Struthio camelus: one gene and its partners. The protein of the gene in region 3 purifies or fractionates together with the protein of the main gene of each other region. This does not show direct contact. Links are inferred from orthologs where the notes say so. Each region holds a gene or a part of one and is shown on either strand. Other genes may lie near its edges.

Region 1 (9,325 bases), on a different chromosome or scaffold from region 3:
CCATATTCCTTAGCAAAGCTTGCTATAGTAGAATGACACAGGCAGGCCCTGAATGTAAAGTCATTGCCATCTTCTCAAGCTTTAGGAACAGCTCTTTCTCTTCCATCCTCATTAGCAATAAAAGAAACATTTTATCACATCCATCTACCACACAGTGCTTAGAAAAACCAGGAGAAAAAAAATTATGCTTCACCCATCTAAACCACCAAATATCATCTTTCTAGTAGACAGCCATTCTAGCCTAAATATCTTAAGAATTGTAGGTTGTACGTATTACGTGAAGGTGACAAGGTCAAATCTGACCTCAAATCTACTGACAGCTGGGCACTAGCATTCTTACCACACTAAAAATTGTTGTTGCTATTATTTTTATTAAAAGAATTATCCTCCATTGGCCTGTATTATAGGCAACATTGCAGAGAGATTACTGGTTTTACATTATATTGATTAATGCAATTAAATTATGCCATTTTCTTGGCTGACATATACTAGTTTAGTTTATGCAGAGGTACAAAATAAACCAATAAGCTAGATTTAGAGGAAGAAAAAGTTTACCCGTAAAGCTTAATCAGCGTGGTAAATCTGAAGATAGCTTGAGTTTAACTGAGACTGTTTTTATGCAAAGAAGAATTTCCAATATAAATATTGCAACATTGTATTACTAATAGGAAGACAGAAAATGAAACATGCCTCTCCCTTCTCTTTCAGCCTTGTTTTCTTCACCTTGTTTTTAGTCAAGTTTCAGTATTCCACAGTTTTTTAATTTGAGCTCTCCAACCACTTAAAACCCCCCAATCCACACCCTAGGTACTACCCTACATAAATTGGCATTATCCTCAGTAGTCACAGACATCGGATTAGAGTCCACACTTGTTAGCTTGCAGACCACAGCAGTTAAGAGAATCACGTAAGTTTCAGACAGCAGGATTTTCTTTTGTTTTCACCATGGTGCCTGCCACAAGAAAGAAGACAGAAAGGCAGGGAGAAAAAAGGTCAGACTAGACTTAGAGCCACTGTGAACTTGTCCTTGGGCATTTTGAAGGAGGAGGACCAGAAGCATGCATAACTGCTATTCCAATTTTGTAAAAAGTAAACAAAACCCCACAAAAGGCTTCATTTCCATAAAGAGAACCTTAAAACCAGAAATATAGCTAATAAAAGGAAAAGTATAAAAGTCTCAGCTTGATACATTTATCAACCATTTCAACAGTATTACAGGGAGACATTATAAAGCATAACAGGAATTCTAAGGATCTCATGGAAGCTAAAAGATGCATTTTTACTTAGACAGCTGGTTCTCAACAGTTTCTAGTATGCGTTGTGGGAGCCAAACACACAGGAAAAGGAGAAAATTCCAGCTCAACAAATTCATTACAACCAAGCATAACACCCTTTTAGGGACCTCACACCAGGTTCTAGGTATTTAAATTGCAAAATGTCATGCTTTTGGGGTTGTGCCTTAGCACTCATCCTAAGTTAATCACAGCTGATTATGAAATCAGACTTTTCTTTGTTCCTTGGGTGGCAAAGTCAGAAGTCTACGTCTCCCATATGATGAAAAATGGACATTCTTCCTTTTTTGTAAGCCATCCTGCGACTGGCTTGCTGAAACTGAAACTACTTAATTCACTCACAGTGAAGGCTTCCCTGAACTCCACCCACTATGACTCCACCAATATATAGTGCAGATGCTAAACTGTGTCAGAAAGCATAAGGCTAGCAAGTCTTCTTTCAAATCTACAATACTTCAGAACAGCTAATGGTGTTCAGGACAGACATTTCCCAACTGGATTTTCAGATCCCTATATCACAAACATATATGTAAAAACACCCATCACTATTATGCGCATGTCACATGTCGCATGTCTATTTCAATGAAGAATTATTTGCAAGCACTGGCCACAATTTCCTCAATTTTTGTACTTAAGGACTTAGTTTGATATACAATTAAAATAAAAATGACAATTTAAAATCTGGCAGGGAAAAATATATACTACATTTAATAGTAGTTTTGAGTTCAAGCTTTAAAATATACTTCTTGAACAATTTAAGATTAATCCATCCTTAAAAAAAAGTTACAGCTTGCTTGCTTCCAAAAAAATCCATCTTTCAATTTGTGAATGACAGTCTTTGAAAGTGCATCATTTTCCACATGCTGAAGCTCATAAACAAAAACAAGACGCTTACATTTATATTGAGTTTTCGGCCTTTAGAAGTTAACTGAACCACATGTCAAATGTGAAAATAATGGGAACTCTAGCTACTGCTTTTCCAAATACAACATACATCTCGCTTGTCTGTACAAGCATTCAGGATAGCTATAATCCTCACCCTCTCCAGAATTGCAGGTGACAAAGCCCATTGCTTGCAAAAGAAAAACTTTAACTCATGATCTTAGAGGCTATGTTGTGCAAACAGGTCCTTACGGCCAAAGAAATTTAGAAGTCAGTGGGACTTTCCCAAAGAAAGATCAGAGAAAATTTTTTTCTCTAGCACAGCCATCAGAGCAATATAGAGGGAAAGTACAACTCCTCTAATGATGCTTGAGCCAAGTAAAAAAATAAATAAATAAAAACAAGTAGAATTTTTGCAGTCACAATCAGAGGCAGCCATCTTAGTATAAGATGACATTTGTCACTGCCAGCATTAGGATCCCTAGCTTACAAAACTTTTTCGGCAGTTTCCAGCATCTCCTCCGACACAGAACCTTATTTTTTTTTAAAAAGAGTAAGCATGCAGAAATATTCAGATTTCATCCTCTCCTGGTTAATGGAAGCTAGAAAGATTGGGAAAATTACTTGATCTTTATCTAACACTTAGATCTTCAAAGAGTACAAACATTAATTAATTCTCACAACACCTCCCTGTGGAATGCGAGTATCACATTCCCCATTTTGCAGATTGGGAAAAAAACACAAACCAAAAGCTGAGTGACAGGAAAATTCGATCAATAATTCTGGAAACAAACATTTCCAGCAAAATACTCAGGAAGCTGGAATTCAGCCCTGCTAAAAGTGTGCAAAACAATACTCACAAACCATCAGATTTTGATCCTGGCTTAAGGCATCTGAATGTACATTAACTGTCTGTCTACTTTGCTAAAATTACACACAATAGAACTGAGATATTTTAGCAAGATCGCATTCAAATCTTCCTGCCTAAGGAGTAGTGATAAGGAAGTCAGAAAAAAAATTAGCAGTAATAAAAATTGTTCTTACCTTCTGCTACATCATCATCTACAGCGCCTTTCACCTGAGAAAAACACCACTGAATGTCATTTCCTCCTCCAGCTCCTAAAAGACAATCAAAAAAAAAAAAAATGAGACCCCTGCAGCGACACAGAGAACACACTGCTAGTTACCAATTGAAATGTTCAGGCAACACTGTACACACCTACTTCCTCAGCTGTGCTGTCGGCACAATTACAAATTGCCCCTCCCCACCTTTTTCCTTTACAGATATTGTTTTTGTCATTAGTCACTTGCCAATGGCCAATGCAACATTTGTCAAAAACAGCATAAGCAGTAGGAACGATAAAAGCCTCATGCACCGAAAGCTTGCAAAACTATGCTACACTGCTGGTGCTAACTTAAACTTTGCATTAAAAACACAAGTGCATCAACATCCTATTTCACACGAAGCTTCTTCCTGCTTTAGAGAGGAGAACTCTATAGAGAGAAACACAAACAACTTAAACAGTAACTGCCAGAACAGCTCTACATTTTTCAGAACATTCTAATCTTTTAATATAAGCCAATTGTGTTATTCATTTTCTTCTTTAACAAAAATATTTAACTGGACCTATGTACTAAAGGCTAAAGAAAAAAGTTACCACAATTTCCACAATTTAAAGTCTCTTCACAGAAGAACTGAAAGTAATTATCAGCCTTTAAAAGAGGAGGGGAAAAAAGCAGCAAATTGAGCAGCAAAGCAAACGAGCAATCTCATGTTAACAAGTTCTACTACCATAGAAAACGGATCGAAGAGAAAACTTCAGGAACATTGCTGCCTCTGCGGAAGGCAGCGATTCATTTGAACCCTGCCACCAAAACACACAAAAAAAACCACCACCCATTTCTTTTGCATTGCATTCTGAGCAAATCACTGCTGGGCTGAGTACATACAGGAAGAGACTGAAATGGACTTGCCTTTTTTTTTTTTCCTCTTTGAAACCGCCTGTCAAAATGGAACTTTTTCTCGACACACAATGCAAAGAGGCTGAGCAACAGATGGCATTTACACATTAATCCAGAAGTTTATCATCACTTTTGGGCAACAAAGAACACAAAAGATACTTCTTCCCTCTTCTACGCTAAGCTAAGGGGGAAAAAAGTGTTAAAAGACATGGAAATCAGAAGCCACAAAATAATCTTTCCACAGAAGAGCAAATGCCACAGAAGAGCAAGAGAAGCACTGGAATACAGACTGTGGCTTGCATTTTTCGCTTGCCTTAGTTTTTCTGAAGGATTATAGACAAGCAAACTATATAACCTGACAAGGTGAAGGGAAGTACAAGCATCTAGCTATGCAAGAGATGTCAAAAAGCTTTATGCAGATACGTTGGAAAGGTATACCACACATTTCTCTCTCATTCCCCTGAACTTGTGCAACCTATTCTCCTTCCCCTCCCTACTCTCTTCATTTGTCATTTAGCAGCTGACACCATGGAAGCATTTAAAGGGGACAGCTTACAAGAGAAATCACTGCTCTTTCTACAAAAGATCAAAATTTCATTTTTTATACGATTTACTTGATTTAAATCTGCATTTTTTTTGACTAAAACAAAAAAAGAGGGTGGAGCATAGGCATGGGTGTAGGGGGACAAGGCAAAGCATCAACCTGCCAGAGCCCCCATGCTTGCTCCTCCAAATGCAAAGCACCAAAAAGGCAACTCATTTGCAGAGGAGGGGGATGAATACATTTTCAAGGGAGGAAATTACAACGAAAAGTAAGACGGAAGAGATACCTCATGCATACGCTCTTCTACCCTACCAAGAGCACTCCAGGATGCAAAATAAAGCAGGATGCAAAACGGGGAACAAGCACAGAAAGGAATGAGAAAGAAAACAGAGGAAGACTTGTATTATCCAAGTACATCCTGTGCCCCATTTTGCACTCATTTGCAGATGATTTGAAAGCTGCGCCCTACAGAAGGCTGCAATTGTACTCTCGACACGAGCACGTCTGCACCCTGAAACACCCTTCCGTGCACAGCAGCGCCTCTGCCCAGTCCTCACTAACTCCATGGGAAAGAAATGCAACATACCAGAGCACTTACAGATTCAGAAAAACTATTATATATATATATTTATATATATATGGCAAAAGACCCACCCTGCCTGCAAGCCTGCTGCACGCTGAACTTCAAAATACACCACTCCCCCCATCCCAGCCCCTCCACCTTGCTTCTTCCATGCAAATTTTTTTTTTTCTGCAATAAGGGAGAAAAAGGAAGGAGGGATGGGTGGGAGGAAGGCAGATTTCCCAGGAGAAGGGTGGAGGGGGGAAGGAAAAAAAAAACAAAACCCGGAGCGCGCAGGCGAGGCGGACTGGGAACGCGGGGCGAGGGCAGCGAGCGAGCCGGCCGGCAGCCGGCGGCCGCGGCGGGGGGCGGCAGAGCAGGGCGCCAGGCGCAGCCCGAGCCGCCCAGGAACCGGGCGAGCCGCGGCGGGAGGCGGCGCCGCCGGCAGCCCGGCCGCTGCCGCAGCCTCACCTGCGCCCCCCGCCCGGCGGCGGCGGCGGCGGCGGCAGGGGCCGGTGCCCCGCGGGGGCAGCCTCCCCTTACCTGCCATGTTGGGCTCGTGATAGCGGCCGCGGCGGGTCGGGCGGTCTCGGCGCTACGCGGCGGCGCCGCCGGTGCCGGGCGGGGGGCGGCGGCGGGGGGCGGATGGCGGCGGATGGCGGCGGCGGGGGGTGCGGCCGGCTCCGCTTCCTCGGGCTGCCCCCGCTCCGCGCCTCGCTCCGGCCCCCCCTCCCCCCCCAACGGCTCCACTTTCAAAATGGCGCCGGCCGAGCTGGGGGTGACGTCACCCGGCAGAGAGGGCGGCGCTCCGGAGGGGGCGGGGCGGCGGGTCCCTCGCCGCCCCCCGTAGGGCAGGGCAGGGCGGCGCGGCGCGGCCTCCAGCGGCGGCGGCGGCGGGGGGGAGGCGCTGCCCCGGCAGGCCCCGGTTGCCGTCGCCTACCTGCTCGCCGGGGTGCTTTCCAGGCCGCCCTGCGTTTTACTCTTCCACTGGATCTCCCTCGTAGCGCTCGGCTTCCCCCCCCCCCCCGCATCCACTCCCTTGCTTCCTTCTCGTGACATTTCCTCACCCAGCGGGGCCTCCGCCGCGGCCTCACCACCTCTTCGAGGCGCCTTTCCCGCCCTCTTGGACGCTTTCCATTTTGTCCGCCCGCTCGGTCTCCGGTTTCGCTCGAGAACCCCGGCGCATCTTGGTCGCTCTCATTGCTATTCCCTGCGCGCACCCAGCCGTGCTTCGGAGCCATTTTTAGCCTCCATCCACCTTTCACGCTGACAGCCACCGAGATCTACAAAGGAAGGCTTCCAGCCGAGCCCGCTTGGCACAACTCCTGCTGGCTCCGAAGGGAAGAAGGCGCCTTTTTAGCTCAACGGGTCCCGGTTGAAGTCTCAGCGGCAGTTAACATGCAGGACTCAGCGAATTGATTCAGTGCAATCTATTTAGGATCTTGTGGAAGTCATCAGTTTCCCTTCAGAGGCGTTTGCGCAAACGTTTTCTTTCTTCTCAGGCGGGGTAGGGCTTGCTGATCCAGGTTTCACTTTGAGATTCATGAGCTCATACTGCAAACCCAGCACAGCCACAAACTCGCAACGTGCCTTCAGACAGGTCTTCCTAAGTCATCACGTACAGTGATTTTGCATTTCTAGCTCAAAACACCTAAGAGGCTTTTCTTAAAATGCAAGACCATTCAATTCCTGGTCGAGTACAGCGCAAAACACAGCGCTGTGGGAACTGAACGCCTCTGTATGAACACACCGATACAGTCAGCCTCCCCCTGTCGGAGGGTAAATACCGGAAACCCAGAACTGCCCCAGATTAAAGGCCACTTTGGACAAATGCAGCTTTATCTCTATGTTCCTCAAGGGACTGCATGTGTGAATAAAATAGTTCTTGGAAATGATGATACAGTATTGTTTGAAAAGCACTCAAAACATAATGGGACAGTCTAAAAAAATGGCAACTCCTCTAAATTGGGGAATATCTGAAACCAAGTATTTTGCTTAGTCCATTTTGAGAGCAATCTAGAAATCTAAAAGCAAATACACTGAAAGTTTGAAAATATTCATAATCAAGGTAGGCTGTTTTTTGATCACTACATTGTTAATGGCCTTCCCTTATCAGCCAGGTGCACATTTCCCGAAGCTCAGGACCATACGCACTCAATCCTACAAGTTTTTGGCCAAATTCAGTCAATCTCAAATTCTAAATAAAAGCTGGTAGTCTTCTTGTTTCAGGATACCTTCAGAGCATCCTTCTCAGCCCTAAACAGAAGCGTCCCACAACCTTTTAGCAGGAAAATTTGCAGACAGGGAAATTAATCCACTGCCTTCAGTGCTATTACTCCAGAATTTGGCCCTCCTAGTAGAATTAACATTGTTTCAAGAACTTCTGTTGCCAAAAAAAGCCTACAATTAGTTCTGTAATGCAAATTAATGAAGCTTTAGTATATACCTTATAATTAGAACCAAATCCCTCTTAAAAAAGATTTAATACCATGGAGCCAGAATGAAGGCTCATAATTCCAACATTTCAGGTTTTTGTTTTGAACAAGCTGAGCTATAGAAGTATAATAAATACTTATCATTAAATCACAGCCATGGTAATTAGTGAAACATCTTGGGAGTCCCGATCTTTGCCTGGGTGTTCACTTGCTTGTTAATTCAGACAATGCAAGTATTCACACTAGTACTAATGGTTAGTGCAAATTAGCAAGAGTGTATTTTGCAGCTCTGATTTTAAAAAGTTTGTAAGCACATACTTATCTCCCTTTGATTTAACCATATTTTAAGCATTTGTTCAGGTGCTCTGGGGAGATAGTAACTGTAGTATGTTAAATTTATATACAACCACCAAAGCACAAAGCTTTACTAAACATTTATCTATCCCAATTATGTTTTTATCACTAATTCTTGCTCTATAGACGCTTCAACTTAGACTAAGGAGAATCTCCAGGAGATTAAAATAACAGAAAAGCATTTCCGATGGATTTGTTAAAAGGCTAGTGAGTGATCCATTCACAGCAGCGCAAAACAGGAGCTGTAGAAGTCAGAACAACCTAAAGCAAAATGTGAAATGCAACTGGTAGCCAATAAAAATATATTCGTGTTGAATCACTGATCAAACGATTAAGGCCCAAGAAAGAACTCTATCAGCAACTCATTTTGTATCTGCCTTAGTTTCCTAGTAATTTGACCTGTTAGACAAGATTATAATGAATTACAACAATTCAGTTTAGAAATAAAGGGAGTAATTATCACCAAAATTATCACTAGAAATTAGTAATAGCTGAGCTGTCTTAGGCCACATGAAGGTTAACATCAGTGCAATGTAATTCCCTACAGCATACTCTTCTGCACTTCATACTCTCTAGCTTGAAGTGTCTCAGAGATTTCCATTGCTTTTCGGGAAAGAACATTTCACAGCCTAGCAGGCTTTACACTTAGAAAAGGTTTGCTAGTATTTGGTCTGTGTTTCCCTGTTCTTAATTTCACATAATTATCTCTATGTATGCAGCCACTTAATTAAGAACCATTATCAAAACAGTGCTGAATCATGTCTTAATACTGGCAGATGGAAGCTCATGCTTAACAAAAGGTCAGACAGACCCTGAACCTGTAATGAATTTTAGACAGGCAGACTCACAGGGTGAACTGCATTTGGTGCAAGTCCCAACCCATCTAACCTCTGTGAGTTACGCCAGTGCCGACCTCCCTTGAGCAGGTAGGAGCTTTATGTTATTTGCAGTGAGCCAACTAGCATACCGTGAAGTCTTCTGCGGACATATGGAGCTTTCATTTGCTTTTTCTGTCAGTCAAGCTTCCTTTGACCCGAGTTCACTTTGAGCAGATGCCACTTGTATCGTCCCAAAAATCTCCCTTTCCAGGGACCAGAGAAATTCAGCCATAACTGAGGTATAAACAAAGGTTTAAGCATTTCCAGTCCTGCCTCACCCTCCTAAACCTGAGTACTACAACAGCATGTTTTGAAAGTGCCCTAGTGAGCAGGGGCCACTGAAGTCACTGACTTATATTTGGAAAGGGCAAACTGAAATTTAAGTTTCTAGTAGTCCTGAGTATCTAAACTATTGA
Region 2 (10,089 bases), on a different chromosome or scaffold from region 3:
ACGTTAGCAAACTGAAGCGTTAAGAAAAGAGCTGTTATCATGCCTTTTTGCAAGAGATCAAGGAAAATCAATTACTAGGTTTATTCAAAAGAGGACTGAGACAGCAAAAGCATCTACAGATGGAGACTGCCTATTCAATTAGACCTGATTAACCAAGGCATGACTCACAAGGACATTACTTCAGTTACATGTTGCGCAGTCCCACTGCTTTCCATGGAATTGGTGCAACACTTTAAGGGGTAGTATTGAATCAAACCCAGACTTCTTTCTTTGAGCGAAAGCTACAGTAAACAAAAAGGTATTGCATGTAAACCTGACTGTGGTTAAATTCAAATTCATCAAATCCCACGTGTCGCCTGGTTCTTTCAAACAGTACAGTATCCAAATGTACCTTTAAAACAAAAAACGGTGTATTATCCGTTCATCTCCTCAATACACGACTAGATCGCTAGTCTTCAAATTACTCAGAAAGAAAAGAGAAGGTTAGAGCAGTGTATGGCAAATAACAGGAAAGTTCGTAGCACATGATTCACAAGGCACCGAACGTTGACTGAGCTTCCAGGCCATTCCAGAGCATAAAATTACAAAATGGGTGAAAAATAAACCAATTTCAAGTCTCCGAGGAGTTAACTTTAAGACTGAAAACTAACAAGATGATTTTTGAGGTCAGTCTTCTCATCAAGCAAATTACCATTACTGAATGCAACACTATCTGTATGAGAACAGACAGCTTAGAATTCACAGCTTTGAATGTTTCAAATATGCTGTAACTTGCACACAGTTTTTAAGAATTTAATGCGACCTGAGCAAAGGGTCTGGAACGTAATGGACTGTCAACAGTCCAACAGTCAGTTTGGGCAAATGATACAAGATTTGACTTTTCAGAAGTCTCAATTACTAATTGCTCAACAGCAGACATTCACCTCCCTAACTTCTGTATTTTGTCTTGCTAGCCTATAACTGGATACACTAATATCGTTCTTCATGCATCTTTTCTAAGGGTGCACTTACCATGAGCAAAGTGCTTGGAGATCCTTAGCATGAATAAAATATATTTTGCACTTAGATGTGAATTACAGAAGTAGCAATATTTGAAATAGGATTTTGTTTCAAGGCAACAAGACTCAATCAAACATGATTATCTGGCTTTGATTGTTATGCTTTACTTACTATGCTCTATTTTCCTTGCATTTTAAATATGCAATTTTGCTTTTCTGTTATGTAAATGAATGTTTTTCATCTAACATATCTATTTTTGGTAAAAGACTAATTTTTCTTCCTAGTCTAACATGGAAGCGTTGCTGAACACAATTCTGGAGTCTAACTGATAAAGTACCACAAGGCCATTGCATGCATTCAAAAGCAAAAAAAGCAAGAGGTAGCTAGACGGCTCATGAATTTAGAATATAAATGCGTAGACGTTTACCTGTATAGATATATATGTACACAGACAAACACACAGTAGCATTTAATATAGATGAATTAATCCTTCTCTCCATTAGTTAAGTGGTACTAACCAACACAGCTGCAATCACAAAGGTTGTGGCCTTTCTTTAAAATAAAAAGAACTAGGATAATGACAGAAAAATTCTCCACTGAAAGTCATAGAAACAGTCAATTTTAAGCTAAAGCTCCTATTTGGGTCTGTGTTATTTAAGTTATTTTAAAGGAAAAATTCAGGGAAGGAAGAAGTCTGGACTTTATCTAGGGCACTGTCTGGCATGCAAGTGGTCAAGTCACCTGCTATCATATCACTTTCTTTTAAAAGTTGATTTTCACTTCTGCAAAGTGCACAGATTATATTGCTGTACATGTTCCTAGATATTAGAGGCATTTAATAGACAGCATGCTTTCTGGAAAACGGAAAAGAGGAAGAACAAAATGCATTTCAAATGTAAGCCTACTGACGTTCAATGGGGTTTACTACCCGCAGATAGTTTTGATTCTATAGCTTGTGTGACCAAATTGTGCTGCTTCAGACTGTTTCCTGTTCTCTTAAATTCACATATCCCCAGGCTGAGTAAAGAATAGAAAACACAAGCGTTTCATTTAAGGCATGGGATAAAACTGGACATCCATAAATTGTCAGTGTTAAAGAAAACTGAAGTCAAGGTTAGCAAATTAATTTTAAAAAACTATGGTTAATGTTGTCATGTGACAAAAGATGACCCAATAAATCAAAGGAATACAACATCTATTGGAAAGAAAACATTATAGTCTCAAACTAGGGTTGAAACACTGATATTTACCCAGACAAAGAAGGTTAAGAAGCATATCCCACTCACTCAAATCTTTAAATAAAAGGCAACGCCAACCTAAAACTTGTTTTCAACATTCTATGATGCCTGAAAAAATGCTGTCACTCACTCATTACACTCCCTCACATGGATGTAATTTCCACCCCCACCTGTCGTCATCACATCTGGCTTGGTATGCAGTTTCGGGGGAAAAAAAGTCATCTGGGCACTAAATCACAACATATTTTGAGTAATCCTTTAGCATGCATGTGTGTGTAATCACACACACTTGCAAACGTATCCTGAGACCTAAACCTCCACAGCATATATTTGGGGGAAAAATTAAACTTAGTCCAAAGCCTTGACCAAGGTTTTGTGTATTATTAATATATCGGGGTTTAACCCGCATTACCAAAAAGCAAAACACAAGACAAAACGCAAAACTTCACATCCTACATAATAATAAATAAATAATAATAAAGCTGAAAGAGATTTCATCCAGCAGTCTACCTACCTGCCCCAAGGCAACACCTACAACTGCGTCATTCCCAACCCACGTTTGTGAAACCATCCTTAAAAATCTGTAGGGAAGGAGATTTTCTGTCTGTCTAACCCATCTATCTAGTACTTTACCGCTGGAAAGTTTTTCCTCGTGTCTAACTGGAACCCTATCTATCAGGGTGCTTCACCTCCCTCACTAATGGAAAGTTGTTCCTAACGCCAAGCTTGAACTTGTAACACATTTTAAGCCCTTACAAAGAGCAAACGCGGTCCCCACAGAAACACGTAATACCAGCAGACTGAAACATCAGGATGAGGTCGGCTGCACCTAACTCGCTGAAAACAACATCAGTGGAGACCTTGAGCTAGGCTCACTGCACACTAGGTAAAGGACGTAGCAGCAAAACATAAGTTGACCTCCACGTTTAAATCCTGTGCATATTCAAAACTATACATCGTTTGGAGAAGGAGGGGAAACTTTCTTGCCCCGGCACCCGAAGGTAGGTCCTTGTCTGACTGCAGAACGTTGAAAAATAAAACTTTCCACGTTACCTCTCTCTTCGAAGTTAAGAGAGGACCCAAAAAAAATTATTTTTTTTTTTTTTACAGCAGATACAAGCGGAGCCTCACTCACACCAGCAGCCACCGATGCCACGGACGAGGGGGCTGATGCCACCCAGGCCCCGAGCTGCGAAACCAGCCGCGACCCCCCCCCCGGTGCCCGGCCCAGCACACGCACCTCCGCGGCGGCTGGGGGCCGCCCGCCCCCCTGCCCTGCCGGCCCGGAGCCGGCCAGCCGCCTGGCGCCGCCCCGCACTCACCTTCCGACACCTCCAGCTCGGCCGCTCCGTTGAGCTGGTAGAGGCACCAGTCCACCGCGCCCTCGCCCGGGGGGCCGCCAGCTAGGCACAGGAGGGAAACCGCCGTCAGTGTCGGCCGGGCCGGCGGCACCCCGCGGCCCGGCCCGGCCCGGCCCGAGCAGGGCAGGCCGCGGGGGCCACGGGGAGCGACGGGGAAAAGGAGCCGGCAGCGGCAGGAAGAGCCGGGGGACGGAGCAGCGAGCGGGGAGGAGAGGCGAAGGGGCAGAGCAGGGGACGGAGGGACGCGGGGAGCGCGGAGGGCTGGGGGAAGGGGGAGCGCCGCCGAGTACCCTGCTTTTGGGACATGTGCGGTGCCCGCCGAAAGGCGCCCTGCGCTCTGAAACTGCGATTTGCTTTGCTCCCAGCGCCGGTAGCTCGGGGCGCCGCCGCCACCTCCTTCTCCTCCTTCTCCCAGCGGAGCGGCGGCGCAGGCAGCCGGCGCTGCCTCGGGGCGCGGGGGGGCCGGGGGAGGGAGCACGGGAAGGGGGGGAGGCTCCGCCCGGAGCTCCCGGCGGAGGCGGCGCCGCCGCGGCCTTGGCCCAGGACGCGCCGCGCCCGGCGCCGCCGCGGCCCCAACAGGTGCGAGCGGCCCCGGCCCGCACCTCTGGGCCCCGGCGCGTTGGCGTTTCAACGTCAGTCCGCCGGCGGGGCCTGCGGCCTCCGCAGCTGCGTTCGCTCCTCTGCGTCCCGCGGTTCCCCGACGTCCCTAGGCCAGGCCGCCCGGCCCGCGGGTAAAGGCCGCCAACACCGCGCGAGTTGTCGGGTTTTCCACGCGCTGACATCGCCGCCAGGCCGAAGGGTCGTGTTCGCGTTCGTCTCCCGGCCTGTGGAGCCCTGTGGATCCACACGCCGTCTTCACGGCATGCTTGAAGAGTAACTACGAAAGCAAACCTGCTATCGAGGGACCCGAAGCGCTCTATGCAGCGGCCTGTGCCTCCACCGGAAAATTTCTAGGGGGGTGGCAAATTTTAAAACATGGAAACCGTAAGCTAGAGTGATCTTAATTTATAAACGTATCTATTCCTACCCACGTCCACCCCACAAACACCACAGGAGGGAAACGTAAAGGTACCTCCGTTGTTCTGCTCGCTTGCAGGTGTTGTTGGCGTTTTCTCCAGCAGAAACCTTGTGCGTCCTCAGCTCACAGCTGGCAGCGTCCTGCCTCCATCTTCCCTCTTTCTGCAGTGGTTGTGCCAGAGGCCTCCGCGTAGCATAGCTCATATCAAAGAGAGCAAACACACTTTGTACGGGCAAATGAGAAGGTTTTAAGAGCATAATACAGGACAACTATAATCGAGCCATACCTAAAAAATGAAGAGCCAACACAATAAAATACCAAGCCAGGCAGCTGTCACGGCACCGCAGTTATTCTGGATCATTCACCTAGCTTTTTGCTATTTACCAAACGGTGTGTAAGGGTGGGGTAACACTAGGCACCAATTCCACCCGACATGCCTATATTCATCCCTTTTTGCAGCAAGCAAAGACCCTCCTGATGCCATTAGAGTTGTATGCACTTTCATAAACTGTGGGCAATTTGACTCTCGTTTCCCTAATGCAAGTATTCTCTTCAAATACCTGCGCTCGTCTCCGCTGCCGGACAGCGTAAAGAGTTAAGGCTTTGTGAAAGAGGGAGGACAACTGTATACTCTGAAGGAATTGGGCTTCAAATGGCAGTAACGTTGTGCAAACATTCTCAGCTACTTTTAGAAACACAGCGAAATGCCAACACTTAGGGCTTCCTGGGAACTTCACCTAAATAACAAAGACCATAACGCCTTCTGAGGTGAAAGAACATCAGTTCAGACAATGTGCGTACATATACATAGACATATATATATATATACACATCCCTGAGCCATACGTTTGCAGGAGGTGCGCTGGTTTTCTTCGAACTGAAAAGGTTTAAGCTGATGATTGGGGGGGGGGTCCATGGAGCTGTGTTACAAGTAAAGCTTTATCCAGCTGCTTGCAGAGATGCTACCTCTAAGACATACCTACAGACCTTGATTGCTCTTCATGACACAGCATTATCACGAATAAAAGTAATGTTAATGTCCCAGTTTCAGTCTCTTCTTTTTGGAGGAAATCTTTCTATAGTCCGCCATGCTAATTAGCAAACAAGGGCCTCGCTCCAGGAGAATCTGTTCAGATTTATTTATTCAGATTTATTTTTTTAAAAAGAGGCAGTTTTATGCCATTCCACTCAGTAATACTGTCCTACATCACATTTTTCATTCTGGACTTCAGACATTGACAAACTTCCAAAATAAAAAAAAAAGTCACGCAGTTTGGCATGTAACGCAGCACGTTTCAGTTATAATATTGTTTGTTAGATGCATATCATTTACTCAAACTAGAATTTAAGCAAGGTAGTTGACTTACGCTGCTGTGTATTTTGAAGAACTGAAGTTTAACAAGAATTATTGGTCTTCAACATCACAACGATACACTGGACAAACTGGTGGTACAACCACAGTCCAAACTTCTGGGGAGACCGTTGGGGCTAAACTACCCATGTAACGTTTCTGAACTTAAGGGGGTTTTGCCTCTACAGCAGGGCTTTCTGCGGACACTTTTTGACTCTCAGTACAGGGCCAGCCCTTGCTAACAGCGGTAAAACCAAAATGGGATCAGGAGAAGGTCGACAGCACAGAATAAAATTTAACTTTAAAACTCAGCGGCAAAAATCTGGCTCGAACAAACCACCTACCAACACAAAAAGCTCGTGTTCCATTGAGAAGAGTTTCCACAAATTAAAAAAAAAAAAATCCACTATGAACAAGAATCGTAAGGATTGTCAGTCGTCCAAGGCTGCAGAACTCAGCCCCCCTCCGCGCAACCTAGTTTTAGACGAAAAACAGCCCCAGCGAGGCGCGCCAGCAGCCCCTGGCGGGCGGCTCCACCGGCCGCGGCCCCCTGGCCTCGCGGGAGGCCGCCTCGCCCCCCCCTTCACCCCCATCCCGCTGCTTCGGCTCCTTTCCCGCCCCCCGGTGTCTCCGCCCCGGCCGCGGGGGAGGCGGGGCCGGCGGGACGCGGAAGGGCGCCGCCGCCGCCGCCTGAGGGGAGCCCGGCTGGGAGTCGCCATGCGCCCGCCACCGCTCCTCCTCCTCCTCCTCCTCCTCCTCCTCCTCCTCCTCCTCCTGCTGCTGCTGCTCTTCGGCCCGGTGCCGCGGGCTGCCGGCCGCGGGCCGCTGCGGGCCTTCGTGGTGGCCCACAGCCACATGGACGTCGGCTGGGTCTACACGGTGCAGGTGGGGCCCGCGGCGGCCTGGCTGCCAGGGCAGGGCGGGGAGAGGGAGAGGCGGCCTCTCGGTGCGGCGGCGAAGCACGTCAGCGCTGGGCAGGCGCCCCCGAGACCGCAGCGCGTTCAGCCGGCCGCGGGCGCGCAGGTGCGGCCGGAGCGGGCGCCGCTCGCCTGAGACGCGCGGATTTTACTTCCGCTTGTGCCCGCGCTCAGCGGCGTGCGCCTGGTGCAGCTCCCGGAGGAGAAACCTTCAGCTTCCTGTGGAGCTGCGCCTCGGTTATTCAGCAGACTTTTGGTTTTTTCCTCCCCCAGGTGTTTTTGCTCTGTCCTGCTGCTGCTGCTAAGCAGAAAGCCCGAGGACGCGTAAGGGCTGGTGACGCTCGCTTAGCGGGGAGTGGGATCCCCGCGCCCGCTGCCGTGGCCGCAGAATAGCTCTTGCGGTACGAATGGGGTGCAGCGCAGAATGAGTCAGATGGGTCGTTAATGCCTTTCACATCCCTTAGTCTAAATCCTGTGTCCTCCTTCCTGAGCATGAGTTTCTTTAGGAGCTCATGCAAAAAAAGATGCTGTGGGTACTTTGTTTGCTGCTGTAGTATGGCATCAGGTGTTTTAGGTGTGGTAGGGCATCGGGGGGTTTGTTTGTTTTTTATAGTTACTCTGCTAGTGGTTTACTGGAGAATCTCTGTTGGGCCTGTGTTTTTGTCTTGCCTTTTTTTTAAACAGGATTAGTGAATTTCTTCTTAGTATTGGAAAACCCCATTCAGAAATCGTGTAAGAGAACACAGAATAAATGTGGTTTTGGTCAGCTAATGGCTGAAGACTTCCTCCAAGGGAAATGAAACATGTAATTATCATTTTTTTGGAGAAGACAGTTGCTCAAAGCCTCGTTTCCTCTGGTATTAAATCACAAGTATCAGTGATTCCTTTGGTCAAAAACCACAGAGGCCATCTATGCGTCCCTTCAAACGCTGCTCTAGTGAAGTGAAACCTGAGGGTAACTCTCTGAGGGTTACTAATGCGGTCCTAAACTCCTTTAGTTTTAGTTTGCTTAGTTATTAGGTCTTGCTCGTGACTGACAAGATACTGATTTTCTCTTTTTTAATTAAATATCTGCATTCATAATGTGAGAAATAAGCATTTCATTTATTATGTCAGTACAACAAGCATGACTGGGTACCAGAAATTATAGTATTGATGGAGAATTCCAATATTAGATATGCAGCAAAATCTTTTTTCCTAAAAGCAAGCTACCCATTGCCTTCTGGTAATAGCAGTGATACCAGAACTCACATAAGATGTGGCATCTGGATGAATATTTGACCACATCCTACTGTTAGCTACAGTGTGGCATGAAAAGTAAAATTCAATCTTTTACATCTAATAAGAAGTCCAAGTCCCACGTTCAAATAAGTGAAGTCTTATCTGGTTGTTTATAGTGGGCCGCTGCTCACTGTTTCAGAGCATCTCATTAGCTGATAGAAGTTATGAATTAGAAAATTCCTGCTTGTGCTTGCAAGTATCCTGGTTTATGACAACAATTATTTTCAATTCCCACCCACACCAATGAGGTTTACGAATTTTCATAACTCTTTAGGACTGGATAATGCCCTACTACTTAGATCCAGTGTAGTTCAGGTTTGAGACATAATAAAGTTTTGCTGGCTGACTCTTACCAAGACGTTCCTAGATGTTCTCTTAGGTTCAGAGATTTAAATGCCTGTCTTCATTTCCTAGTGGAGAAAATATTTTCAATAAATTATTTAGCAAAAAGTTTGTAAGCAATTATGCAGAATACTTTAGTATTGTATTAAGTCTGAGAAGTCCTTGTTCAGCATTTCAAATACAATGCGCTACTTAAAATAACAATTAAAAATTAAATTGAGTCAGATGATGTAATCATTGTAAATGTTATGGATATTGGGTATATTGTATGGCCAGTCAGCAATGAGAAATTAAAATTCCTTAGCAGGTGTTTGAGTGTCACTGTTTAACATTAGTAAAACTTAAAAGCTATTCCCGTAGTTAAAATGTCATATTGCATTAAACATCTAATCGTAACCTTGATTTTTAAAAAATCCTTAAAGACCGATGGAGAAGTCGTTGAACCAGCGATTATTTAGACAATGAAGTATTGTAAGCCGTTCCTCCTACAGTCAAATGCTTTCCCTTTTTTAATGGCACTTCAGCATTTTTTACAAAGCTAACTTGATTTCAGTTAGGGAAAATAAAGGGAGGGAAGTACGCTTCTGATTTGGATCACATCCTTCCGTTCTTATTTCAAGATTTCCTTTCGTACAGGAGATTTGCCTGAATTAAAGCTATAGATTCACTTGTTAAAAACTCTTATGCAGTGATATATAAGGTGGATGAGGGTTCTGTGTCTTAATCACCTTCAGATGTGTGCGTGTATTGTGGTGGCGTGCGTTGGCTAACTTGGCTGTGGGCTGTCCGTTTTACTTTACTGCGTGCGTGGCTCTTGGTCAGAATGGATCTGGCCAAGCAGCAGTTGCTCTGGTAAAGAACCTTCAGATAACTGTGTTATAGATATGTGCAGAACCTTTGCTACAAGAAAGCACAAACATTGCAGGAAATCGTAGGATAAATGCTCTTGCCTGTAGTCGTGGTATATCCCTTTTAAGGGAAGGGTGAAAGAATGGATCTGGCCAAGCAGAAGTTGCTCTGGTGAAGAAAAGTGTACCCGAAATACTGTTCTGTACACAACTTTAACATGTTTTTCATTTCATACCATATGATACATTATAACCATATGATAGGTTGTTTGATAGATACAGCAGTCATGTTTGCATTCCAGTAAAATCCTTAGGCCTCATTCTGGAATCAAAGTTGTTTTAGAAACTGTATAGAATAAATACATGGTTCTCGCAGCGGATGAGCCTACATCGAAAGTCAAATTCATTCTAAGAGCTCTTTGCTAGTGTTGTTTTACTCTGTCCTAAAACATCAAGTAAAATGGAGTTATTTTTCATGACTGGAACTTCTAGGGCTATAATAGTATAATTTACAGTTTATGTATGACTTGATTACACCAGCAATGCACACCCACAGCATAGAGTCATACTCTGCGAAAACAATTGTAGTGATTCAAAACATCAGCCCAGCAGAAGATCAGAAATGGAAGAACAAAGCATGCGTTTTTCATCCATATTGGTGCAAAGTCTTATTAATGGCATTAATGATTTTAAGTTAAGCAGTGAGCGACAGAGGAACTTGTTCCCACCTCTCT
Region 3 (9,824 bases):
CACACAGTGATGGACAGGAAGGGTAATGTGGCAGCGATGTGCTGGGCTCCTGCTGGGTGAGGTTTGTCTGAAGGCGTAAAGGGCATAACACAGCTGTGTGAAAGGAGCAGGTTGAGGCAATCTTGATACTATGAAATGATTACTGAAGCCAGAATTCTTCAAAATATTTTGTTAAAATTATGAAGAATTGTATCTACTTTATCCTGCTTTATAATGTTTAAAAAATTACAAGAATTTTCTGAACTCCAGGGTTTGGATCTATCTGTTTTCTGTTTTTTTTTTTTTTTTTTCCTCCTCTTTGATCGGTGACCAGGAAATGGAGAGAGGATGACTGAGTGAATTAAGCAAGCCAAGCAGGAATGCTAATAACTACTCACCTATTGCTCTGCAGGTGAATGTTTCCAGCTCCAGGAGGGCCGTGTTCTGCTGCCAAACAGGTCTGGCTGTGAAACATCTGAAATTAATTTAGCTCTTGACAGAGTTCACACAAAGTTTGCTCTTCATTGCACAGAAATCAATATGAGAAAGAAGCAAACTAATTTGCATAAGCCACCAGGAAGCCAAGATCTGCCAAAGGCTTTAGCAGGAGGTGTTTTATGTGGGACTGAAACAACAGAAGTGAGTGCAGGACGTGGCTATGAGTGTGCTCTGCCAGTATAAATACGAAGGAAGCCGGTTCTGGATCTCTGTACTATTACTGTACATTGCAAACATGGAAATACTTCAGTTGCCACAGCTGCTTCTCCCTTCCTGAACGTTACAGGCAAGGTTGTGCACAGTGGCTCTGTCCTGCATACCTGCAGGATGACACAGTGTCTGCTGATCTTGCAGTGTTCCTCCAGCAGTCAGTGGAGCAGGATTGGGCCTTGAAACTGCAACACTGCAAAAAGTCTTCTGCCTGTTTTGAAAGCAGCACCCAGTTAACATCCATGTCTTCTAACTTTTTTCTTCTTCTCTTGGCATCTCTTAAGCATTGAGAAACAGGAAATGAGAGCGGAAAGCTCAACACGCAGAGCTTAGGCGTGCAAACGTTTAAAGCCCAATTCTGGTAGCTATAGAAGTGTCCTGATACTTGGAACTGATGACTTTACCTGACCTCAGTAAGTCAGCTGCATTGTTCAGCATTTCTGGAAGTCAGGTCAGTTAGCTATAGGGATAAATTTAAATAGTGGTTAATGAACTAAGGTTTCATACGTAAGTGACCCAAAATAGTGCTGCTTTGGTGGTAGGCTGGATAATGCTGGTCTGTGATTTTTTTTTTCTTTTTTTTCCACACAACTTTAACTTCATAGGCTGTTTGATTTAAATTCTTTGAATGAGAGTTAATGTTCGAGTCTCCAATCACAGTCACACTTTTCTCAAGAGACTTCTCTAATTGACTTAGATTAGGAAGGTAGGTAGAAGTATTTGAATGTACTATCACAAGATCTCCGTTCTAAGTAAATTCATTGTGGGGAAAAAAGGTTCCGTTTCCTGTATAGCAAAGCCAGCTATATTGTGATTAGAAACAGAATTAAAGTTCTTGAAATGAGGGCAATTTAAATTCTTTGAGACTATCCGTGTGCCATAGCTGCCTCTCTGGGGAAATCTTGCAGGCCAACCTGACCACAGTCTTGTAAAAGGGGACAATCAGCGTGTGGAAGTAGATGGCTCAGAAGTTGGAGGAAACGCTAGGATTTGCATTTCCGAGTTTCAGCCTTTGCTCTGAATGCCTCCTAAAAACTGAGGAATTGAGTTGATTCTCCAATATTGGTCTCTTTCTGAAATGCACTTTGTATTTACTTCTTGAGAAAGTGCTTGGAAATTACGTTGCCTTTGAGTTACTGTGGACATTACATGGTGCTGTAAATTTTTTTGGCTTTTACTTCTCCCCATCAGGAACAACTTTGTCTTAATGTGTTAGGGAGCAGCTTGTAATAAATTGCACTTTCTGCAGCTTTTGTTGTTGTTAGTGGTTTAATCCCCTGTACACCCCAGTATTGGTAGCAAGGAAAATCAACACCAAAATTAAAGTATAAAACAAGTCTTGTGAGAACTGTTGGATGCCGCAGTACTTCCCATTTAGCACAGCAGCTTTTCTCACCGATTCCTTTGAGTGCTGCTCTTTTAAAATACGACTTTTTTTGTCTCAGCACATAGCTAATTAAATGAAGGTCAGTAAATGTGATGTGAATGGACTGTGCTCCAGTATGCATTGCAGATACAGAAACAGTTAGAAGGTAAGGAATGTCCTGTGTCTTCCAGGCCAAACTTGAGAGGCAACGCAAGCTGTTTGATATGGCTGTTTTCCACAGCTTCACCTTGGTCTTGCATTAAGCACCAAGAAGTGGCTCTTCCACTGAGTCCTTGTGGAGGTTGTTCTACAGTCTAACGTACTGCAATTTCACTGCCTCGTATCCGATATCTTCCACCAGGTCTCTCCCTAGAGAGAAGTCAGCACCTTAACCCCCTTTAGCATTGTGCCTTGTCCCCGTTTTACAGAAAGCAAAGATGACTTAGAGGTAATAGAACTTGCCAAAAGCTGTGTGACTCAGTGATGAGCAGGTGCTCGGATAAAGTAAGATTGCAAACCTTGAATCTAGCACTTCAGCTATTGATGGTAGTGCTAGATTTTAATGTGCCCTAGATGTTAGCAGCCTGTGGGATCAATCAGTGGTGTTATTTCAAGTTAAGGGAGGTGACCATGAAGAAGCTGATTTCCTCTTCAGTAGTTTGCCTGGTTTCTCTAATGCAGTATGACGTCTAAGGAGGATGTTGGTGGAAAGGATTGCTGGCATTAACTTAGCTCCTCTTCCCACTGTGTCTTTCCCTGTGGCCACGTAATTCATAATTGTACTCTATGCAGCTTCTCCCCTGATGCTCTGCTATGACCTAGTAAGGAGGTGGAAAGCGTTAGCATGATGTTATCTTTAGGATTTATCTCAGCTGGTTTATCCCTAGTGTGATTTCTAGGGCTGAATTCAGTAGTGAAAATACAAATTTAATTAGAATAGAAGTTAAAGAGAAAACAGTTCCCTTGCACATCCTGCTAAGGCTGTTTCATGGGAGATTGTAGTTTTTGCAGGATTCAACCTGCGAACTCGGGCAGATCCCCTAAACTGATCTTGCAGACCCACCTCCACCAGGTGTTCGACAAGCACTGCATAGTAAGGAAATAATGCTATTTTCTGGCTGTATTTCTACAGGTAGGTGGTTTTATTTCCTTGCTTTCCTTTGTATAGTCAGCCATTTTAACTTTTAAGGATAGTGTTTCATTAGGTGTGTAATCCTTATTGCAGATTTGTCTCAAACCTTTTTATCTCCCTCCCCCCCTACCCCCCAAATTTTCTGGACTTAAATCTTTCTGGGCAGACAAGCATGTGTGACTGCATTTATCTGTGTATAATGGACTTAGGTGTTACATGGGACAGGAAGGAAAAAGAAGGCAGATCAATTGTTCTCTGATATCTCAGTGTAATAAAGCATGACAGTTGCAGTATTAGGTACAGGGGTGTTGACCACAAGAGGGCATGTGTGCTCCACACTTGATTCCATTTGCCTGTTAGTTGAAAGTTTGCCTTGAAAAACTCCTCTGCGTTCTAAGAAAACACCAGCGTTTGAGAGAAGCAGTTGGATGACCTTCTTCAAAGCATAGTAGAAGCCATCAATGGCCATGAAGTCTGCACAAGGAATGTTCTTGTGATCGCAGTTCCTTTAGCAGTGTTGGGCAGTATTTATTTTTTTTACCCTAAACTTCTAGGCCAAAATGGGCGTTATACAGTGCTCCACAAGGAAGTTTTTGGAAATGAAGCTTTCTGTTGAAAGCACAGTATCTGGCTTAATGGATTTTTGGAAGAATTTGGTGGGACTTTACATGCGTGAAAGCAGGCAGGAAGCAACAGAATTTTACATTGCTACAGCTTTTATAACAGCAACTGAGAACAGGTGTTGAGCAATATTTTGCACAATGCAGGGATTTAAAAGAAGAAAAAGTTACTTTTAACATGCTGCGCTTGCATCATGCTTAAGTTACTGTTTGGCCTATGTGAAACAGGAGTGAAGTCTCATAAGTAGTGGATGAGGATGACACCATTTTCTATCCAAGTGAGATTATGGTGAGCTTGCTCATACACCTGTCAATCCTAGAAAAGGGTGAATGTCTGACTAACTCAACTCATGGCTTAGTCATTGCCAGAACTTCTTAAGGGGATAAATAGAGTGGCAACAGCACAGTTGTTACCCATAGCAGTGTCAGCTTAAAATGTCATCCTGTAGAGGAATCTCAAACTGCAAGTGCAGTGCAGGGCATGTGTTAACTTTATTCACTCAGGTCTTCAGTTGCCTAGTCAGAAGGATGATTACTTTATAGCAGCTGACAAATTTAAACAACCTTCCACAAGTATGAGGCAGCTTTAAATACAAAACTCCTATGTAAAGGGAAGATGTGAGACAGATGTTTAGTTCCTTGCATTCATGAACTTTTTCCTTTTGTGGCCAAGCGGTGGTCTCATTAGTGTTTGCGTCCGTGGCGCTCTGGAATACGGAGCGGGCCTGTAACTGCTGCTGAATGTGCAGCTGACTCGACAGACACGTGTGTGCCCTCATGCCACCAGCTCTGGGACATGCCTTGCTCAGTCAGCAGCACTGCAGGAAACCTCCGGAGGGCGATTCCTGTTACCTGGATGTCAGGTGGTGCCGATCTCCCAGGGTGAGGTGGGTCAGTCAGAGGGGAGCAAGGAGGGACAAGTGAGAACGGGAGGAGGGCAGATTGCTGAAAAGAGCATGGCGATTTTAGAAGCCAACATAACTGAATTACAAGCAGTGAAGTGAACTAGGTGGACTGAGTAGTGGAAGGGAAATTAGGTGTAAGAGGCCTTCCTCTTCACACACTACCACTGTCAGCTGTGTAACCATTTTATGCTGAAGGGGCCTCACTGCTTTGACATCTAAGTGATGGGAAATGCTGATGGCTATTTTGATATGTACAGGCCGATTACATTAAGGGCATCCTTCTGATGTAGGACGACTGTGGTGGCCTTGAAATGCTGTTCTCCGCAAGGGGAAGGGCATTTCCCTCCGGAAGCCGAGGATCTGGTCCTGGCTGGTGGTGATGGCCCCCAGGCCTTAGAGCTGTTCTTGAGGCTGTGGAGCAGGCTGGGAGCTGAGATGCTGATGCAGTGCTGGAGTGGCACCTGGGGGGGGGGGGGGGCTCCTGCGGTGGAGGAGCACCGGGGGGAGCCCCTTGGTTTTTTGTGGGTGGTGCTAATGTAGCTGACTCAGCCCTGCTGTGCACACAGGTGCGAGGGGCCTAGGCTTGAGGGCATGGGGGGGGGGGGGCCCTCTCCCTGGCCCCAGGGCTGTGACGGTGGAGGAGGCGGCTCCTTACATCTTGGTGGAGGGAGGTAGCTCGGGGTAGCGGGGGGTGCGGTGCCTTCTCTCCTTTCCTCTCCCCCTCCGCCCGGCCTTGCCGCGCTGCGGGGGCCGCCGGGGAGGGGAGGCCCGGCGGCCGCCCCGCCGCGGTGGCTCCGGTTGCCATGGCGAGGCCCCGCCCCCGCTGACGCGCGCGGTGACGCGCGGTTGGTGGAGGAGGGCGGAGGGGGCGGGGCGGCGCGGCTCCAGGGCGCCGCAGACGGACGCGAGCCGCTGCCGCCGCCGCTCGCGTCGGAGCCGCCGCCGCCCCCCGCGCCCAGCATGGTAATGGCCGAGCCCCGGCGGCCCCCCCCGCTGCTGCCCCGCGGGCCCGGGCCCGTCCGCGTCGGTTTCTACGACATCGAGGGCACGCTGGGCAAGGGCAACTTCGCCGTGGTCAAGCTGGCGCGGCACCGCATCACGCGCAGCGAGGTGAGGCGGGGAGATGCGAGGCGGCGGGGGCCGCGGCCGCCCCCTGCCCCGGCGCCGCCCGGCCGCCGCCGGGCCTCGCGCGCGCGCCGACCGTTGGGACCGTTGGAAGGGGGGGGGGGGGAAGCTCGCTCGGGCTCTCCTCGGGGCTTCGAGCTGTCTGTTGGGCTCGGCTCGGGGTATGGATGGGCCTTAGCGCTGTGGGGCTCGGCTCAGGGTTTCTCTGGGCGGGGGGGGGGGGGTGTTCACCTTTGGGGCTGTGAGGCTCGGCTCGGGGTGTGGGGTGGCCATGGGGCTTTGGGGGAGGGGGTGTTCGCCTTTGGGGCTGTGAGGCTCGGCTCAGGGTTTGGGGTTTTACAGAGGCGTAAGCTGGGTGGCTCAGCTGGGGGGGAGGTCGGCAGGCGCCCTTGCACGGCTTTGTCCCTTCTGGCGCAGGAACCTTCTCCTTTAGGAGAAGGTGTGAGGAGGGGGATTTTACTTGAAGTGCTTTGCTGTGAGCAGGCTTTGAAGGACGAATCATGCCTGCTTATTCTTATTTTTGGTTTTCCTGGCAAGGGCAGCAGTAACGCCTCTGAGCCCAGCTGTAGCAGGGTGTCCCTGTGGCTCCAGCCCCCCTCCCTGTGGCAGTGCACTTGCTGGTTTGTGGCTGTGACAGTAAGGATGCTGGGGGCTGTGTGTGAGGGGGTGAACAGCTGTTGGCATAGTTCATGAGGCACGCTGATCAGATAATGGTAACTTGCTTGCTGCTGATAAGGGAGGCTAAGATCTTGGCTTGTGGCTGGTTTGTTGTCCTGCATACATTAGTTTCCTCACTTGGCTAGTACTTTTAGATGAGCCGTAGTAGTCTGTTTTAGTGAAGGAACTATTTTTTATATATATATCTTGCTATGAGTCCTCCCAGTAAGACATGCTACAAATGAACCAAATCCAACCATTTTAGTTTTTCGCTGTTTTTGCTTGCCCCAAATGTTACATAGTGAGTACCAGCCTTGAAACTGTTAACCTTTCATGCTTCACCTAAAGCTATAATTATTGCAGTCTATTTGGGTAATATGTAGTCAGGTGCACTCTAAAAACTGCCATCTAATGGGAGTAATGGCTTTGAACGATCAGCTTCCTCTCATGTTTTCTTCTGAAATACTAGGGGTGAGCTCTTTGTCAGTCTCTGTGAAGATCTTTTTTGCTCTTTACTGAAGAGCTTTATGTGGTGCTTATACCAGTCAAAAATAAGGAAATTGGCTAATCAAAGTGTTGTCCAAAATACAAAGTAAACAAATTGAAAAAAACCTGACATTAAGCAGTTGCTGTAGTCTTCTCATATGACAGACTCATTCCTCACAAGAATGAAAACTGCCATGAGCTTGGGCTTTGGTTAAAGAAAACAAACCTCCAATGCTGATGTTGTTCTGGCTGTGCTGTGGTGGATGGGCTTTGCATCCTAAACATTAAATTAGAGCCATATTTCTCAAGTTGCACAATAAACTGCTAATCACTTTAAATCTTTCTCTTTTGTTACTGAAGAGCAAGTTAAGACCTTTGACGATTACCTGAAGGTGTTCTGTTCTCAAGTTGGATGCTATATGCCAAATTTCTAAGTATTCCACTTGAAAGCAGTAGGTTGTCCTTTTTAGTGGTGTTCTGTCTTATATATGGGCTTTATGATGAGGAGGAATACTTCAGTCTTGACCTTGTTATTTTAAGAAGTCTTTGTTTGGTATTGTTCAAAATAATGAGTATATAGAAAATTAGGAGCTTAACAGCTCTCTCATTCTGGTACGATTCTTCCACCTGTACCCTCAGAAATTCTTAAATTCCAGTACATTGTCATCAGTACAAGTTTGAGTTCTGTTAACCGAGTTTATCTTTTATGAGAAGCCTTGTGTACAGTGTCTAATCTGGAGCCTTTTTATTTCTGCATTATTTTTACAGTAAACTTGCCTATGAGACTTCTGTGTCAAACTTCACTTTTCAGTACAGTTACATTGCTGTGAATTTTTGCGGTAAGAGATGCAAGAATATTTATTTGGAAGTTAATTGCTTAGTTGCTCGAAGTATTGACGTGATCTTTGAGGAAGAGGAACCCTGTTCAGATCACTTTTAGTAACGTCAAGAGAAAGTAATTTTAACGGAATACTGCTTTGAATAAGCACCCCAAGTTTGGGACAACCTCACTTAATTTAATGGTAGCTGACTACGCACATAAGAGAGCGGGAGTCCCGCTTAATAACATGTCTAGATGGAAGACATTTGATTCTGAGACTTGTTCTAAACTGTTGGATATTAAGTTTGGCTTAAATTTCTTAAGTTGCTGCTTTCTTGTGTTTACTTATATGCTGCACATGACTGCCTCTATTAAACTTGCTATGGAAGAATATTTAGCTTATCAGCTGCTGAAACTAATGCCATCTCACCAATGAGTCTGTAGTACATGAAGATCTGTGCTGTGTTTCTGTTGAGACATGCTCAGAGAAGTCCTTTCAAAGGGACTGTTTCCTTCTCTGAGTTTCTCCTGACTCTCCCTGTTCAAACTCGTTATGCTATGAATTTGTTTTGGGGCTTTTTTACAGACTTTGCAAGTTATGCTGGTATACCAGTATTAGCCAGTAAGCGTCAAATTTGAAAAGATAGGATCTTATTACCTTGCAAGCTTAGCATTTATGGAGTATGTACAGAATCCACCTTACATATAAAAACCTGCATATTAGAATTGAAAATTGTAATATTAACTGAAAACACTGAGTACAGTTGCCATGAAACTGTTAAAGAAGATTATGGATGAAAGTAAAATGATACCAGACCTGAAGCAAAAGATACCCTTCTACTACCTTCTCTTTTGTGTATGCAAAGAAACTCTGAAATTGTAAGTGAAACACTGTGTTAATATAGCAGTAAAATAGTCAACCGGAAAGAAACATGAAAATACAGTCCATGACCCTCTTCAACGACAGTCCATACAAGGTGCCTCAAAAGGGGGCTGCACGGTTGAATGTGACCTTTGCTTTGCTTGTTTGTGTGTTTGTTGCCATTAAGTTAATGACATGCTCTTTTCTGCCATGCTTGTTTATCAAGTTGCCAAGGAATCCTGTGATCTCAGGATATCATTTGCTAATGAAATGTGCAAATAAGCAAAATGCCTCTTTAGAAGGAGAAGAGGGAAAACTGCTTGCTGCTACAGACTCTCCAGATCTGTTGCAGGGGGTAGAGGAGGAAATGCCTCTCCGGAGGCAGAGAATGAGCAGAGCAGTCCCTTTTATCAGCCAACTCGCAGGTAGATCAGATTGGGTGTAATGCGAAACTGCACCCTGAGGGAGGTAATGTTTTTGTGAATCTGTGAGAGCCAAACACTGTGCTGTTCTAAATTGAACTCGCTCCAGATCAAAGTGGTGTGTGTTGATGCTGTTAATCTACTTTTGAGGTGCACTGGGTTAACAACTCAAATGAGAATTTCTCTAACCTGGATGAAACCTTAATTAAAGCTTACACTGACATGGACAAACTTCTTTTCAGAAAGAGCGATAAGAGAATTAAATGGATAACAGCAGAACTAAATGAAAGTTGAAAGCTGGAGTAGTTGAAGGATAGAAAAACTTTTTTTGCTTAACATTCATCTTAAACCTGCTGCCTGACAGTTTCAGTTCTCAGATGTGTCAGATTAGGGTAGTGCGAACTCCCTTTCCAGTACTCTAGGCCTTTAGCAAAAGAGGGAAGGAAGTACTATTCCTAACATTCTTGAATTAAAAAGGAATGATGTTCCAAAACATTTTTGCTGTATTCACGTCTTTAAGCAGCAAAAAGATGAGGTGGGAAGAGAAGAGGGAGCAGACTTCCCTTCTCTTTTTCTCACCTTGAAGTTATCTTAAAGTACATACTTACATACTGATGTTTGAATTTTTTTTATTTCTTTTTAGGAGAGGTGTGGTAACCTTTTTCTGTTTTTTAAAAAAAAAAGGTACCCTAACAGTAGAAGCTTGCTGGAATCACAGAGTTTGTGTAATTGTTCTTTATCT

The links.
Region 1: the proteins of SIK2 (region 3) and PPP2R2A purify together in Homo sapiens (affinity purification with mass spectrometry; 3 studies listed by BioGRID and IntAct, with this or other methods). This does not show direct contact. The link is inferred for Struthio camelus from reciprocal best matches to the Homo sapiens genes SIK2 and PPP2R2A.
Region 2: the proteins of SIK2 (region 3) and PPP2R2C purify together in Homo sapiens (affinity purification with mass spectrometry; 3 studies listed by BioGRID and IntAct, counting the BioPlex papers as one, with this or other methods). This does not show direct contact. The link is inferred for Struthio camelus from reciprocal best matches to the Homo sapiens genes SIK2 and PPP2R2C.

The regions. Positions count from the first base shown.
Region 1 is NC_090968.1:4,340,625-4,349,949, forward strand, and holds the start of PPP2R2A (serine/threonine-protein phosphatase 2A 55 kDa regulatory subunit B alpha isoform), read right to left. Parts: upstream 4,019-9,325; 5' UTR 4,004-4,018; coding exon 3,967-4,003; intron 3,294-3,966; coding exon 3,219-3,293; intron 953-3,218; exon of another isoform or gene 854-952; coding exon of another isoform or gene 815-853; intron 1-814. UniProt on the Homo sapiens protein: Substrate-recognition subunit of protein phosphatase 2A (PP2A) that plays a key role in cell cycle by controlling mitosis entry and exit. Involved in chromosome clustering during late mitosis by mediating dephosphorylation of MKI67.
Region 2 is NC_090945.1:74,039,684-74,049,772, forward strand, and holds the start of PPP2R2C (protein phosphatase 2, regulatory subunit B, gamma), read right to left. Parts: upstream 4,052-10,089; 5' UTR 3,905-4,051; coding exon 3,889-3,904; intron 3,641-3,888; coding exon 3,560-3,640; intron 1-3,559. Other genes in the region: MAN2B2 (epididymis-specific alpha-mannosidase), read left to right, coding at 6,685-6,852. UniProt on the Homo sapiens protein: The B regulatory subunit might modulate substrate selectivity and catalytic activity, and might also direct the localization of the catalytic enzyme to a particular subcellular compartment.
Region 3 is NC_090963.1:2,871,468-2,881,291, reverse strand, and holds the start of SIK2 (serine/threonine-protein kinase SIK2), read left to right. Parts: upstream 1-5,580; 5' UTR 5,581-5,670; coding exon 5,671-5,820; intron 5,821-7,751; exon of another isoform or gene 7,752-7,817; intron 7,818-9,824. UniProt on the Homo sapiens protein: Serine/threonine-protein kinase that plays a role in many biological processes such as fatty acid oxidation, autophagy, immune response or glucose metabolism.